2 linked regions of the Oryzias latipes genome follow. Each later gene encodes a partner of the first gene's protein in a complex. Links are inferred from orthologs where the notes say so. Each region holds a gene or a part of one and is shown on either strand. Other genes may lie near its edges.

Region 1 (8,056 bases):
CGTCGCTGGTGCTGTGGTGACCGATTCTGATGACACAGACCAAATAAATGAACCCTCGACTTCAATAACACCCACAGGTTAGCTCTTGAGTTCTCCGACACTTCATCTTTTCTTGGAATGCGTGTTTTTACTAGTCCTCTTTATAGACAGTTAAACAAATTAGAAAACGGCTCAGACTTTGCCCCGGGCGTAAAAAGTTTCAATGTGTTCAGAGAAACAAAAAGCAACAAAACTCTAATGACATCAAAAACATAAAAAACTATTTCAGGTTCTGACAGAAGAAATGTAAAAGATATTCTGAAGAACCCAAGAACAATTTTCTTCTGGGTGTTCAAAGTCAAACATAAGAAGATAAAAAATAAACAGCAGGTATCAAGACCCACTCTGATGAAAATTGTGTTGTTTTTTACGTTTCCAGGCATTTTTCTGATGATGGAGGACATACATAAAGAAAATTCAGCTTAAATTTGCATTTCTGAGTTTTTTACATTCAAGTATTATGAAAAAAATGCTCTTTGAAAAAGATTGTATTTGTTATGTAGATAACGATCCACGAACGTCTTTGTTTTCCTCGTCTGAACTGGAGTCTGACTCTAAATCCAGCTGCACGGCTGAGACTGAATTGACGAGGTCAACTTTACACGATTGGCACTGTAGACACTAAAGAGGACTTGTCGCAAGAATTTCAAATGAAACTTTGAATGTGTTTCACATAATCGCTTAAAATTACAAGCCCGGAACACTGGAGATGCTCTTCGCTCATCTTCTTGGAAGAACGGGTTCTGAACTAACCTGTAGGTCATGGCCTCGATCAGAAAGGGCTGGTTCTCGGCCACCGCCCTGCGCCGCGCTTCCTTTGTCGCATTGTACACGGCAAACACATCGTTGCCGTCAACGCGGATGGATAGCATGCCGTAACCGGGACCCCGAGCAGCTGTTCAACAACAGAACGACAGGCAGAGTGAAGCAGAAAAACAAACAAACTTAAGGGTTGTCATCCTGTGCCGAGTCTCACCAATGCCGTCTCCTCGGTACTGCTCATTGGTGGGGGTTGAGATGGCATAGCCGTTGTTGCGGCAGAAAAAGATCAGCGGGCACTCTAAGGTGGCGGAGAAGTTGAAGCCAGCATGTGCGTCCCCCTCGCTGGCCGCACCCTCGCCAAAGTAACAGATGACCGCGCGGTTCAGGTTCTCCCTCTTGAGTGCATACGCAGCTCCGGCGGCTGGGAACGACGCAGGAGAACGTCAGCGCCGGCGCATCCTCGCAGAGCGGAAAACCAAAACGGCAGCTCACCTTGAGGGATCTGCGTCGCCAGCGGAGAGGAGATGGTGACGAAGTTGAGGTCTTTGCAGCCGTAGTGGACCGGCATCTGGCGGCCCTTCCCAAGGTCATCGGCGTTGGCGTAACACTGAGCCATGAAGAGATCCAGGGGAAAACCGCGGTACATCAGCACTCCTGTTGGACACAAAGACGTTTTGTCTCACTTTGTGGCTCACATCGGCAAGTTGACTGAAGCAGTTTTATAGGTTTTTATACCATCTATTGGAATAAAAAAATACACAGAAAAGCACATTTGAGCTTAGTTTCTTCATCAGAAAAGTAGCACAAGAATATCCTTTCAAAAGAAGTATTTTCAGATGATTTGATGTTCTCTATACAAGTGAGGCAAAGTTTGCTGCAACAGCACAATGCAAACAAACAGCTACAACAGCTTGGTACGGAGCTTTGAACGAGAACTAAGCATCAAACGTCCAGTTTTGCATGGCATCCCACAGGCTGCAGAATACAAGTCTGGAATCGGGAGGGAAATTCACCTCACAAAGAGGAAGTTAACGTCTAATCTGATGCTTACCAGCTTCTCTATATTGACCAAATACCATGTCGGTTGGCTCAAGGGCAGCAGCACTGCCTATGTGTGTGCCCTCCTCTCCATAGTTGGTCATGTAGAAGGAGATTCGTCCCTGAAAGGCAAACGTCGGTTTAAACTTTCACTTTAGGCGGTTCGAAACGCAGGAAGGTCCGGGTACCTGTCTCTGGGACTCGTAAAGAATCCGGTCCATTGTGTTCAGCATCGTCATCTTCTGATAAAAGTTCAAAACTGTCTCCTTGGAGAGCTGAGAACGAAATAGAAAAAAAACACTCCAGTTTTAGCTCATAGAGACATCCTCTCTGGTTAATTGGGAAGCTGGCAGACCTGAGGGTCTTGAGAAGGGTTGATGATGTTCCCCTGTCTGTCCATCACACGATACACCGGGATCCCAGAGATGACATTGGGCTGGATGAATTCCAGGTGGTCCACGAAGTCCGCCGAGGCTCCAGGGAACTGAGGCTTCTCCAAGGACGAGTCAAAAGGCTGCTGGCGGTGCACAGCCTGGCGGGTTCAATACCGGCCGTTATTGATCATTGATAAATGATTGCTGCGCTTTCCGCATGCATGTCTGTCTAATCTGCTTCAACACCAAACAACGCCTTTTTTTTTTTAAAGGCTACAAAACATGACCTTTGCTAAGAATATTTTCAGTGCTCTTTAGCTCCGTCCTCGCTGAACTTTGAAGAACTGCTGATGTAATCAACCGTGATGTTTGTTGCTTTGCATTTTTTTACGCCTATGTCAGTCCCGAGAAAAGGTCATGAACTTAGCTTCAAACGTTTATCTTAGAAAATCTTTTCAGAGAAATTATGTACTTAAGGAGAATGCTTTAAGTAAGTTATACAATTAATTTCTAATCAAACTGTTAGCTCCAAAATGTGAAGAATTTCAGGTTATTGTCTCCTGGAAATTTGTATTTTATAAAAGAAATTAAATAATTAAAGTTACAGCTGCAAGCTATAAATACAACTTAATTTATTTATTTATTTAATAGTACCATAGACTCTCAGTCGTATATGTGGAAACACTAGAAAAGTTATTTTCTGTTCTTTTAGCCAACTTATATTCTTTACTTTTTAATACTTTTACTTCTTTCATTTAATATTTTTTTACTACTGTTATTTTTGTATTTTTCTATTTCTGCCTTTTTAAAAACAAAATGTATGACTTTTTTTCAACTCTTATATTCTCTTGGCACTGCATCTTTTATTGTTTTGTGTTTTTCTACGATTGATTGGACTATTCATATATGAATGAATGAATGATTGAATGGATGGATTCTGTGTATTTGTGTTTCCTGCAAATATTTACGTTGATTTTTAATTACTAAACAATTGGGTATGTTCTTATTAAGTAGAAAAGATCTACATCAAAATATGATGCAAGAAAGGCCAAATGAGGAGGTTTAGGCATCTCTTTTGGATGCCTCCCTGGTGAGGTATTCCAGGTATGTTCCACCAGGGTTAGGTCCTGGAGAATACCCAGGAATACCCAGGACAGACGGTCTCTTGGCTGGCACCTTTGTGGGGGAGGAGAACCAGGAAGTTTCTGTTGTGAGGGAGCTCTGGGCATCTCTGCTCAGAATGTTGCCTGGGCAACCTGACTCCAGATCAGCAGGAGACGATGTATAATAAATGCACCACTGGTTCCCTCTCATACACTGTTTCATTACTACTTGGTAAAACATCACATCATAATGCGAATATAATGCACCTGGTTGTACATTAATTACAAATTATTGTGCTATTTTCCAAATTGTGATCTTTTTAAAGTGTAGCCAAGTTGGCACATGTTCTTCACTAAAAACCCGTGAGATTCAGCCACACAAACTTCCCCGATGAGTACCAAATTAGACCATTTAAAATAATATATGTTTATTTGGGTGCACTGAAAGTGGTCACCGCGCAGGATGCCTTCCCACACCCCCGGCGTCCACCAATAGAATTGAAGCTAGCTAAAATGCTAACCGGCTGGGTAAACCAAAACAAATACACATTACGCCTCCCTGACACCAGCATTGCCGTTAGGGTTAATGCATAAAGTTTTACTAAAATATAGACAGCTTTGCGTCAATCTGTCGAGCACGTGACTACATTAATGAAGTATTATTTTATGAATAAAACACTTGTTTGTGAACTCTCACTAGCATGACTAGCTAGCTAACTAATCATCGCGATAACTTAAATTAAAGATGCGTTCCTCTTTACTTTTAGTAGCAACATAATGTGCATTAACCTTCTCGTAACAAGTCACTTACAGATTATATTATAAGATTATCTGCTGTGACAACGCGGAAATGATACATTTTGAATGATCTCTCTGTTGCTAGCAAGACACTAGCAGATAACCTCAGCAGGACCTGCTAGCTTCATCATCGACCTTGCAGGTTATTTATTGGGAGTCACCCAAAACACAACCAATCCAACAGTTTCAAACTTACGCTGATTCTGAAGGCTCTGCGATGAAGGAGCCAGGGTGCCTTTAGTCCAGCTGTTTGACGAACAGCATGGAAACACAGCCCGTACATTTTACCCATCATGCTGCTAACAACAACGGCCGCCATCGATGTGGACTCTCGACGGAGGAGACAATCGGTTGAAAAAAACGGAATAGATTTGCACGAGCTACACCGACTGACTCTTAAATGTTATATACTCTCATAAATAATCACACATCCCAGGCCCGGTCGCTTTAAAAGAGCCGCCAAGTTAGACACAATATGCACTAAGCTGTGACGTTTTCAAAATAAGACTAGTTTTATTTTGAAATAAAACTAGTTTTATTTTGAAATAAACTAATTTTGTTTGGATTATTTGGATTATTCAAATGTATTTTTTATTAATTTCATTTCATTATTCATACTTCCCACCTCCTTTGATATGTGTGTGTGTGTGTGTGTGTGTGTGTTAAAACAATTTTTTTTATCATAAACATACATGGACTTTATGATCATTTTCATGTAATTAGTAATCAAATCCTCCTGTGACCTATAAAGTATTAAAAGGTGTTAGATTAAGTAAAAACAAATTTAGTAATCTCAATGATGACTAAAATAAAACTGCTTCAAGAAAAGTACTTTCGTTTTAAGTAATTGTGATGGTAAGGTATAAATAATTGATCAGAAGTTAAGAACTGGATAACGATAAAAGAGTAGTTTTAATTATTACAAAGACAGAAAAATTAAGCAAAGCATCATGGGGGGGGGGGGGGGGCTATGTAAATTGGCTTCACTCCCATTCCTTTTCAAGCAATTAAATAAACTACGTTTGAAAAACCTAATAAATAATTTTGTGCCATATGCTGTATGAATAAGTTTGAGTCAGCTTTATTGTGAAATACGCGCTATACAGCACAGATGAAATTGCATTCCTTCATGGTGCAAACAGCTATTATAGATGTAAAAAATAATAATATACAAACTATACAAACAAGTCATATTTACAAAAATAATCAAATACAGAGAGTAAGTTTGGGACATGGTTTGGTATGAGTGCTAATTTGTCTATTTCTGATTAAGAGTAAGTATTATGGAATTCTTCATATGTATGCGGATTTATGTGTAAGTAAATGTATTTTCCAATCAATTCATGACTAATTATCCTACATCTGTACAGTTCTGTTTTTATATCCTAAAAAGAGGGTAAATGTGTATCCAAATAGGGAAATAAAAATTCAGCAAAATGAACGTTTTTAGCACTAATTCATTTAAGTAGAAGTAAAAAATGTATTTTCCTGAATAAATGTTACTTTTATTTTAGTACCTGGTTGCAATCTGCAGGAAGAAAATAAGAATAAAAGCATTTATTTTTTACAGATGACAACTTCATTTCTTTTTTTATAATTTTCATTAAACAGACAAATAAAAAATGAACTGTGTTTCTAAAATGTATTCATTTTTTTCTGTGTTGTATGTGCTGTGCCAACTGTGACAATGGAATCACTTGCATGTGCAGTCCAGGTGTGATGCCATCCTTGAGCTTGAACATGTGGAGAAGCTTTATTTTGTCAGAATGGATCATAGGGTTAAAAGAAGAAGATGCAGGGAAGGAAGATTTCTGCTGATGACAAAGGAACAACGTTTGTTGACAGCAACGCCACAGGAGCGGTGGCCTCTACTCACTGCCGATCTGGTTTTACCAGATCGGCAGCTGTGGAGGGAGCCATGCGGGATCCCAGCTGAGGAAGTGGAGCACCTGAAGCACCTGAAGGTTCAAGGTGAGCGGCTGAGGTCACCTGCTGTTAGGTACCTGAAATCAGATTGGTGTGCTCTTTTTGGATTTCCTGTAAACTATTTTCTTTTTTTTTAAATGTGTTAAAGTCAAGTAACAGCTGAGTGCCTCCATCCAACAGCAGCACATGTAACATTTAACAGAGACAGGTGAGCAGCGACCCTCTGTCTGTGTCCGGGGCGCGGTGTTCTGACCTCGGTGGCTCGTTTCCGAGAAAGACACGTCGTCTTTCACAGGAGGGCTGCCCAGGCCCGAGGTGCTGAATTTCTAAACCATTTGGGTGGAGCTTTGGAGAAGACGGCCAAGTGACAACATTCCCTTGTGTGTTTGCATTTTGTTCATCTATTTTTTTGATTTGACCGGCCCACAGTGATTCAGATCCAACACTGTTTTCATGAACACTACAACATTATTTCTTACTAAGACCTATTCAAACATTGTGATTTGTTTAATTGTTTACAATGAAATAATTGAGCAAAAGTGCAGGTTTAACTTTGAAACAGCCACAGAATGTCTCAAACAAATGAAACGTTTCAAAAATGAAAGCAGAAACTGTGAAAATAGAAAAGAATCCCTACATGTGTCTCTGCAATAAAAAAAAAAACAAATTTTTAGCCACTGAAAAATTTAGGCAAATTATTTGACGGTAAATCATCTTGTTGAAGCAAAATCAAAGAGACAGAAACCTTCAAATGAACATCCAGGCTGTCTCGTTGATTTAGGCCACGATACAAAGTTGAGAATTTTGCTGTTTATTTTTTTGTTTATTTAAGAAAAGTTAGATCCTGAAGGTCTGAACATTCTGAAACTCTCCTGCTGGTCTGCGTGGGTCCTCAAGACACTTCAATAAGGAAAAGAAAAACCAGTTAAGGTTTATTGGCGATACAGGAAATGGTGCGTGATATACAAGTCCATTATCTCTGACCGTTTTCCTCAATGACGTCTTGCGTGTTTGGGATAAGCTCAGATCATGGCTTCACATCTTAGAAAAACTAAGAATTTCCTTGACCAAGACTGAGCACCACAGTAGGTCTTTCCTTCCTGTGGCAATACAATTGTATAATTCCTCTTTGAAAACCAGAAAACTTCATAAAACCACCAGACAGCCTTTTACATTGATTTTAGAATAGAATAGAATAGAATAGAATAGAATAGAATAGAATAGAATAGAATAAAATAGATAATCTTTATTTCTGTAGTACTTTTCACAGAAAGCATCACAAAGTGCTTTACAACAAGATGGCATAAAATCAAACCAAACACAGATATCAAATATTAACAAGGCCTACTGAAAATCTAAATAAAATTTAAAAAAAATACTGAGTAAAATCAACTAAAAGCTCTTCTGAATAAAAACGTCTTGACTCTCAAAGGAATCCATCTGACGCGGCGGGAGGGAGCTCCAAAGACGAGGAGCGACAGCTTGAAAAGGGAGACCTCCTCCATTCTTAAAGTGGGTTTTTGGAACGCCTAAGAGATGTTGGTCGGAAGACCTCAAGGATTGGGCATAAGAGTATGAGGAGTTAGACGTAAGTCGAGGTTTGACCATGCAAGGCTCTAAAAACCAGTGGTTCAATTTTAAAATCAATTTGAAATTGAATAGGCAATCATTTTACTGTTGAATGTGACTGTTTGTATTTTTTAAATTGTTTATTTCTATGCTTCCAGCTGATCAGAGTTACTGTAGCTTTGGTGGTGGAAGACATTTTGTTTTTCTTTTCATTTCCACCTTGTTACATTTGCTGTTGTTGGCAAGTTCAGCTGCAAAGCAGGGTTAAACAAAACATTTAAAAAAACAACAGGTCTTATTGGGCAAAATGTTCAAGCACCTTGAGATGATGACAGTGATGCTGGAGATGCCTGATGCATCCCAGGCGCTCAGATTTAGCTGCTTAGTAGACTCAGAGCTCAGCTGTTGTGCTTGGAATGAATGAGGGTTGAGCAGGATGCAATCTGC
Region 2 (8,181 bases), on another chromosome or scaffold:
TAAATATCCTGACAGCATTTTGAATCAATACAAGTATCACCAAATGAACTATCGAGATGTCGGCGAAACGATTGTTTTCTAACACCCCTAGTGTTGCGGCTCCTTGGAGTTTCATTTCTGTGTGAAACTGATCCTATTGGCTCTTTGAGGGGTAAAGGTGCCGACCCCTGGTATGGGCCCTTCATTTGCTGGATTTCAATTCAGAACAGAAATATTTCGAGTATAGGCACTGAAACCAAGAATTGTGGGAAAGCCACCTCCTTCTCCATCTGTCTCATTCACCTAAGGTGTAGGTCAAGAAATTGGAGTGTTTGAGAGGAGAAACTTCATCTCATCAAAGGGAGATTGTGAAGTCTAGCAGAACATACTCCACAGGGCCGCGGTGTCGCGGGGGTTAACCGCATCCCCTGCTGGTTCATCACCGCGGTGATCAAAAATCCCACACCGTCACAGCTGTACATACAATGTATCCATTAGTCATTCACTCCATGTATACTTGGTGATGACAGAGGCGTGGCTGCCAGTTCACGCCTACGCCCCCTCTGACCATCACCCGGACATTCATACGCATTTACACACCAGTGAAGCCACCCTGGAGGCAGGGAGGGGGAAGTGTCTTGCCCAAGGACACGACGACAGTTTTGACTGGGGGGAGCGGAGATCGAACCGCCGACCCTTCGATCATTGGACGACCAGCTCAACCTCCTGAGCCACCAATTTAGAATATGATGTACACTATCATCAGTCACCTTGTTTATCAATACTTTATCTAGGTCAACAGATGGTAAAAATCTCTTGAAGAAGTTGCCCCCCATCTCCATTACCTAATTGTTTCCCGTCCACAGGTGGGAACCCTGAACTACATGCCCCCTGAAGCCATCAAAGATACTTCCTCCCAGTCTGGCAAAGCTCGCTCAAAGGTTCTTGCCATCTTTGAAGCTGATCTAACAGGTTTGATGACAGTAAACCGAGCAACTGGGAATACTGACTCTTAATTGTCATACAGATAAGCCCCAAAGGAGACGTGTGGTCGCTCGGCTGCATCCTTTATTGCATGACTTACGGGAAGACTCCATTTCAAAGCATCACAAACCAGATGGCCAAGCTGCACGCCATCATTGACCCCTCCCACAAGATTGAGTTTCCTGATATTTCAGAGAGGGACTTGCTGGATGTTCTAAAGGTAAATGTGAAGTGAGACTGGTACCTAAACAGCTAGAGTAAGACATTTTGCTCTCTAGAATGACTTGATATTTAGGTCAAATGTTGTGTTTCTTTTGTTTTTTCCAGAGGTGCTTAGTAAGAAACCCTAGAGAGAGGATCTCGATTGTAGAGCTGCTGGATCATCCCTATCTCCAGCTGAAGCCTCAGGCCTCACCTGAACCAGGTACATCTGATTCTGAGAAGGAAATATTACCAGAAAAACCAATCTGCCAATGTAAGTTTAAACCTGACCTGCATTTCAGCAGAGCATCCATCTAATGGGGACCTTCAGAGGATCCTGACGGACCTGGCCGCTCTGCAGTCTCCAAACAGCATCATCCGAGCTGCAAATGTGAGATCTGTTTGGATGAAACGTAATCTCACAGATGGTCCTCTTGAAATCCTTAACTTTTCTTCTCTCTTAAACAGAATTTGGCAAAAATGTGCAGCAGTGGCAGGAGGCTGGATGTTGCAGAATGTGCAAAGTCATCCACTTAAAGATTCTGGAAAGTGTGACGTGGACGTTTCTTCTTCTTCTTTTCTGACCTCCTAGTGACCACTAGGTGTTCTGCTGAAAGAACCAACATGTTCATGTTTGTATATTAACATTTTTCTGAAGTTGTCCTTCTGAGTGATGTTTACTTTTTTATTTTACTTTAGATGTTAAAAATTTTAAGCAAAACACAACATGGAGAAATAAACAAACTGTGTATCCTACAGAGTTTCATTCATACCATTACCAATGGTTGCTGACCCTTTGTGCTCCTCGTTCCATGGTTAGGATTTTGACATGATCGAAGCAAAGGATTCTGCACATCACCTGTTCTTTTTCCCTTAATTTTTTCAAAATGTTATAAACTCAATATTCTCAAAAACATTAAAAAAAAACATAAAAACTCGAATCCTGCCACTGCCGGTCCCAAGCCTGGATAATAAAAGAGGAGGGGTGAGTGAGACTTTATAGTGACTGACCACAAAAATGTCACAAAAAGGAGATAGAAATAAGTAAATAAATGCTTTTAAGAGGAAAGGGAGGTCACCGACATCAGTCAATATGCTTTATTCTGTGAGAGTCATGAATGTGTGCCCCAAAATAGAAAAGCTTTGGGTGAAAGATTTCCAAGATCAACTAACTCTAAAACTAAAAGTCTGGCCTGATGGTGGCGCTAGAGAACAGGTCAACTCCCTGATAGGTTTCATTATTAGGGAGCTATTTATGTATTTAACAAGTGAACAATGTACCTAACACAAAAACGTGGTTAACAATTTTATGTAAATCATTTTCTACAGGCAAATATCCCTGGGGTCAGATTTGCCCATAGGGTGAAATGTGTTTGTAATATCTAAGGATAATACAAGGCCAAAAGTAAAATTTGGGGGGGGGGGGGTAACTTTTTCATAAATACCTGAAAAAATGTTGATGTAAATTTGACATTACATTTGAACTCATTCACAGCATAATTCAGTCATATTCCATGAAATGCATTATCATGAAAATAAAAGGATGTGCATGTTAGAAACAGCAGTATAATCTCTTATTTCAATGTAGAATTAACATGTTTTTGTTTTGTTTTTTTCAAAATAAGGCCCGGTAAAACTGGTACCCAAAACAACACAGTAAAAGTCATATTCTAAGTTTTGGAACTGTTGCAACCAGTCTAACTGGCAGTTTAAAAACACACAAAATAGAAAAGAAGGGATACCTTTGAGTTTTTTTGTATCAGGATGTGCAGTCCAAGCCCAAAACTATACTAAAAAAAATTACAATTACATTGGCCCCACACACAAAAACAGGCTGTTAACTAAGCCAGCATTCCAAGTCATTCCATGCTGCAAAACATCCAAAAAGAAACGGCTTTAACACAGAAAGGGGAAATGATTGTATTTCATTAAAGTCCCACTTCGTTCATCTTTAGATCTATTTTTAAAGCGTTCCCGGTGATCTTTTAGTTATGATTATGGTCTTTTTAGCCAAAATAATAAAAATGTAAAAAAAAAACTATCATTCTCTGGAAAGTAGTTTCTGCAGAGCGGCAGGAGTTCACCAGAAATTCACCTCTGAATTGGCCTGACTGTTGGCATGGAGTAAGCCCCCCCCATTTGACATCATGTTTACACTCTCCTGAAGGCTTACAGCCCCTCACACCCCCAACACAAGACTATGGGTGCAACAAAAACGGTGAGTAGTATTGGAGGTATTCAGCAATACAGCTTTGATCCAGATTCCAGAGGAAAACAAAGACGTCCGTGGATCTACAAGGGGATGCATCAGAATGGAGCGGAGCAGGAAGCTTGCTGTTTGGAGCTTTATTGTCACAGCTACAAGCTTTTTCAAACCGCATTTTTTTTCTATTTGAATAAAGAAATACTCAAATGCATTTTAATTTTCTTTAAATATGTTCATCATGAGAAAAATTATGAAATACAATAACAGAAAAATATTGAAGCACTGTAACTAAAATAGTGGGGGAAAAACCTTCCAAAGCAAATTTTTTCCCAAGTGTTTTTGGATCAATTTTATCTTTTATTTTAATTTTATTCTGGCTGAAATTCAGTACATTTTTTGTCATTTGAGTGGCATCAGTTTTATCCATAGACGGTAAAAACAAGTCTATGGTCCAATCTTTATTTGTTTGTTCGTTCGTTTTTTCCTTTAGAGAAGTGAGTCTTTTCGGGCAGAAAATAAAGAAATCATTTGGAAAATGAGACTCATGTTATTGGATTCTAACGAGCTTTTCCTGTACTGCAAAGTTCTTCGTTAGTTTTAAAAATACAGTGTAACACTGAAAGGACACCGTATTTCTTCAAGTGCATTTTGTTTATGAAAATAAACAGACTTCCATCCACCGCTTACACCGCCCTCTCTTTTAACCAATCACAGGCATCGTCGCTTCAACACGGTGCGCTTCAATTTAAGAAAGAGCGCTCACTCTGCTCCCACACATTACAATAAAACATTTATTAATGTAATTATTTTACCTCTAGTTAGTCTGCTTTAAAAAACGTGTTGACCAAGAAATTTAGACCATTTTAAAATCTCGCATTGGCCATTGCTTTTTGGGTTATTTTTTTTTTCTTTTTTGCTGCACTGTGTATAACATTTATTTAGGATATAGCTACTATATTATTATTACAATGTTGTTGCATTTTTAAAACTCTAATCGTAATAACCACAGTTAGGACAATGTGTCATTAAACAAAGTGTGCTATCTATTTTGTCCATATTTTTCAAATTAGAGTGTTCCATGTTTTCTGTACCGAGTGGTGCCATCTTTCCAACAACACAGGATCTTTGTCACTTCTCTCGCTTGTCCTTCCTGGTCACTGACATCAACAGTGATGGCGGCTGCCGTACGATTCTTCATCCGAGGTGCAAACTCGAGACTCTCCGTCGGTACCGGGACTAGTGGCTCCTTAGGAGCAGCTTTGCTCAAACTTTCTCCGAGCTGCAGCTCTCGTTCTAAAACACAACGGAGACATGCAGCCCACTTTACCTACCAGCCTGACCCCGTCCCGACGCAGTATGGTGAGTGAGTGGCTCCTCCCCTTACCAACCAACCGCCGGCTAGCGCCGTCAGCTAGCATCACCTAACAACGGCAACAGAGTTTACAATGATGAAACGTCTTTTTACAGACTTCACAAAAACTGCAAAGAAGCGATTAAATTATATTATCAATGATAAAGTGGAAATGCAACTATTTCTGACGAGAAAAACCTAAAGTTTTATCAATATTCTTGATCATTCTGCTTAAACCCAAGACACAGTCTTTCGACTTTTATTGTCGAAACAAAATCTCTAATTTTGAGGATTTAAATATCATTGTATGATACATTTAATTAAATATATAAATTAACGTGCAATGTATGGACATGATTTAATATTATTAATCACTAACAAATCAGCCAAGCACAGGCTCAGAGCAACAAGTGAAGGTTTAGTTTATATTTACAAAAATACCTTTTAATTAATAACAGAAAAATTACAACACATCCTCTGCATAGAAACAAGTCTAATGACTTTAAACAAAAAGGACAAACTCCTATTAAACTGTTTAAATGAGTTGTTTTCATCAATCACTTACTATAGGCATGTCCAAAGTCCGGCCCGTGGGCCAAATATTCAAATTTCTGACAGGTTCCTGTCATTATTAAATCAAAAATATCCAGAACCCAGCACTTCCTAAGGACTCTGTACAGTTTCTGAATTGTGATTGGCTGAATTCCCTCCTAAGGAATGATTCAAGTCCTTCCTCTCTTCCTCCCATATTCCTCTTCATCGACAGTTTGTACTCTGCAAACTTTTGTGTTTTTCTGATCAGAACATCAGTGTTTTGTTCTTCTGATTCAAACTCTTTGTTTTGTTTTCCTGGTCACACGACTCACATATAGAAGTTTACTGTGAGCATTATATAAGAAACTAGAAGGAGCTGCATTTCCAGAAGAAAAAGCAGGGTTGAATGCTATATTGCTGAATGAAAATGAAACTTAAAGGGTAATAATGGGGGGGATAATTAAATAAAGAAATGATCAAAGTTGACCATGAATAAAGTGAAAGCAGCACAATAACAAGAAATATATTTTTGTGAAAAATGCCAGCGCCGGGTACCGAACCAACGAGCTTCTGCACCAAGGATTCCCCATTGATTTAAATGGAGGCAGAAATCCTGAAATATCTTGAAAAGACAAGGATTTGAAGGACCAAAGGTCAAAACTGGAAAAAGCTGAAAGAGCTGAACATTTTAATAGTAGAATGGTTTAAATAGCAGAAATATTGTAAGAGTGAAGCGCAAAGAAAAATGGTGGAAGATTATAAACAAATAATGAGAAACAGGAAAATAATGGGTTAAATGCTTTAAAGCAATGACCCAATATATTTCACAAAAATATCGTTTTTGTTATTGTGCTGTTTTCACTTTTTTTTTTTTTGCCAATTATTACCCTTTAAGTTTCATTTTCATTCATCAACATAGCATTCAACCCTGCTTTTTTTTCTGGAAATGCAGCTCCTTCTAGTTCTATATTGAGTTCTATGACGTTGGCGATCATCATCTGTTCCAAGATTCATTTTGACACTTCTTTGAGTTGACTCTTGTTTGCATTGCTAGGTGAAACTCAGAAGATGAACTTGTTCCAGTCGATTACAAGTGCCTTGGACAACACCCTCTCCAGTGATCCCACTGCAGGTAAGGCGAAGAGACAGCAAATGGACTATTACAAGGTAAAGGAGTCAGGGTTCTGCTGTATATGGATGCCATCAGTTCAGTACAGTTTATCAAGCTAAAGCCACTCAGTTTAGTTGGAATTTACAAAAATGGGCATTTATTAAATTCACATAAATTAACTCAGAGATAAAATAATTTACCATAAATTTTTTGGACCTTAGTTCACAATTAATATTTTCCAAAATTGACCGTTCGCTTTATAATCCGATGTGTCTTATGTATGAATCCTGGTTGTACTTCAAGGATTTTCTGTGGTACACAGCTCTCAAAAATCTATCAAAATGCTTTAGTAGGATTTTGATAAACTACAAAGCCGCAGTGCTTGATGGATTGTTGGAGCACTACAGTAACAGTAGTCAGGAGCCTGTGTACCCAATATGTAGTATGCTTTGACATAATAAACAGGAAAAGGGAGTTTATTGTTTGTGTTTTCTGTTTTACAACTAAACAGTGCTGAGTTTTTGTGAATAAAGTCTGACTTATTGCAGATAAAAGCGATGCACACATGGTATTATGTAAGACATTGAATATCCTGAAGAATTAAAACAGAACAATAATGTCTATCATTCTGGATTGAAAATCATTACTGTTGTCTGATATTTTGTAAATACTTGAAGCATTAAAACACCTGTCAGAAGCTTTTCTTCAGTTTTTATCGCAGTTGTCCCATTCTTGTATGATTTTTGTCATTTTTTAGGAATTTTCCCCCCACAAATTCCTAATTTTGCAGTAATTTTTGAGCATGTCTTTAGGAACTGCCTATGTTTTTCTTTTTCATCTTGTTACACATACCACAGTTAAAAATAATAGAAAACCACTCGAATCTATCATGTTTTAAACTACTATTTATGACGAGGACTTTTTGTTTATATCAGGTAAAAATGACCAGGCCAAAGTGATGGTGGAACCTTTTATAGCCAAAGTGTTTTAGGGTTAATGGTAGGAAAAGGTGTTATAAGGATTTTGAAATATCCATAAAAATCTTAAAAATAGGATCAGAAAAAGAAAAAGAAGCCTAAATTTTGCTAAACATCCAAATATCTCATCAAAAGGACCTGAAATCCTTACAGACATTCATCCAATATGTTTTCTGAGGAGATAAAGATAAAGATGTTTTGCTGAAATGCTGTAACCAATAACTGAAATGGAATAGGGAATTTTAAAGCATAAAAATGCCGAAATTAGTGTTTAATTTGTTTCTATTTGAAGCTGAGAGGTGTTTGCCTATGTCGAGGAAGCACAAGTTGCCTATTCTTATGACTTTTCCCTCCTTTTGTGTCTTCAATAACTCTCAGAGTGGCTGACTTGGGTTTGTGTGTTTGTTTTGCAGTTATCTTTGGTGAAGATGTTGCCTTTGGCGGAGTCTTCCGATGCACTGTTGGCCTGAGAGACAAATACGGTAAAGATGCCGTCTGCCTGACTAAATGTACAGCTACCGTATATTTGTATCTATTGTAAGTGTTCTTTTAATTAGGATTATGCCGCTTTTAGCCAAAAGTCTGTGTCATTTTTTCAAACCTATTTTCTGAAGAGCAGCCGTAGTTCATCAGAAATTTGCCTCTGAGTTGTGGGCGGAACTGTTGGCGCAGAAGTAGCCCGACACTGATATCCCATCATTCCTTCGTTTGCACTCTTTTCAGCTAGCTTACAGCCCCTCACAACCCCAAGCTAACATTTACAAAAAACAACCCCTAAAAAAGCGTCGCGTACGGTTTTGAGCCAGATGGCAGTTCTGACGAGGAAAATGAAGATATT

What was found. Proteins that work in one complex are often made in the same cells at the same time.
Region 2: the proteins of bckdha (region 1) and bckdhb are in contact, whole or in part, in a crystal structure (PDB 1V16), measured with the Homo sapiens proteins. The link is inferred for Oryzias latipes from reciprocal best matches to the Homo sapiens genes BCKDHA and BCKDHB. Residues at the interface, in NP_000700.1 of Homo sapiens: Phe155, Leu185, Gly186, Lys187, Arg189, Gln190, Gly196, Cys197, Lys198, Phe202, Val203, Thr204, Ser206, Pro208, Thr211, Pro214, Gln215, Val217, Gly218, Ala219, Tyr221, Ala222, Arg225, Gly244, Asp245, Ala248, Asn251, Phe252, Thr255, Leu256; in NP_000047.1 of Homo sapiens: Pro89, Thr90, Val92, Asp117, Arg118, Phe120, Asn121, Thr122, Pro123, Cys125, Gln127, Gly128, Ile129, Gly131, Phe132, Ile134, Gly135, Ile136, Val138, Thr139, Asp158, Gln159, Asn162, Glu163, Ala165, Tyr167, Arg168, Tyr169, Arg170, Ser171.

Annotation. Positions count from the first base shown.
Region 1 is NC_019871.2:5,003,280-5,011,335, reverse strand, and holds the start of bckdha (2-oxoisovalerate dehydrogenase subunit alpha, mitochondrial), read right to left. Parts: upstream 4,636-8,056; 5' UTR 4,434-4,635; coding exon 4,311-4,433; intron 2,372-4,310; coding exon 2,195-2,371; intron 2,115-2,194; coding exon 2,028-2,114; intron 1,962-2,027; coding exon 1,853-1,961; intron 1,456-1,852; coding exon 1,294-1,455; intron 1,223-1,293; coding exon 1,016-1,222; intron 935-1,015; coding exon 793-934; intron 27-792; coding exon 1-26. UniProt on the Homo sapiens protein: Together with BCKDHB forms the heterotetrameric E1 subunit of the mitochondrial branched-chain alpha-ketoacid dehydrogenase (BCKD) complex.
Region 2 is NC_019874.2:4,123,821-4,132,001, forward strand, and holds the start of bckdhb (2-oxoisovalerate dehydrogenase subunit beta, mitochondrial), read left to right. Parts: upstream 1-3,745; 5' UTR 3,746-4,542; coding exon 4,543-4,729; intron 4,730-6,309; coding exon 6,310-6,387; intron 6,388-7,756; coding exon 7,757-7,825; intron 7,826-8,181. Other genes in the region: dual specificity protein kinase TTK, read left to right, coding at 846-920, 1,007-1,183, 1,291-1,387, 1,467-1,555, 1,633-1,701. UniProt on the Homo sapiens protein: Together with BCKDHA forms the heterotetrameric E1 subunit of the mitochondrial branched-chain alpha-ketoacid dehydrogenase (BCKD) complex.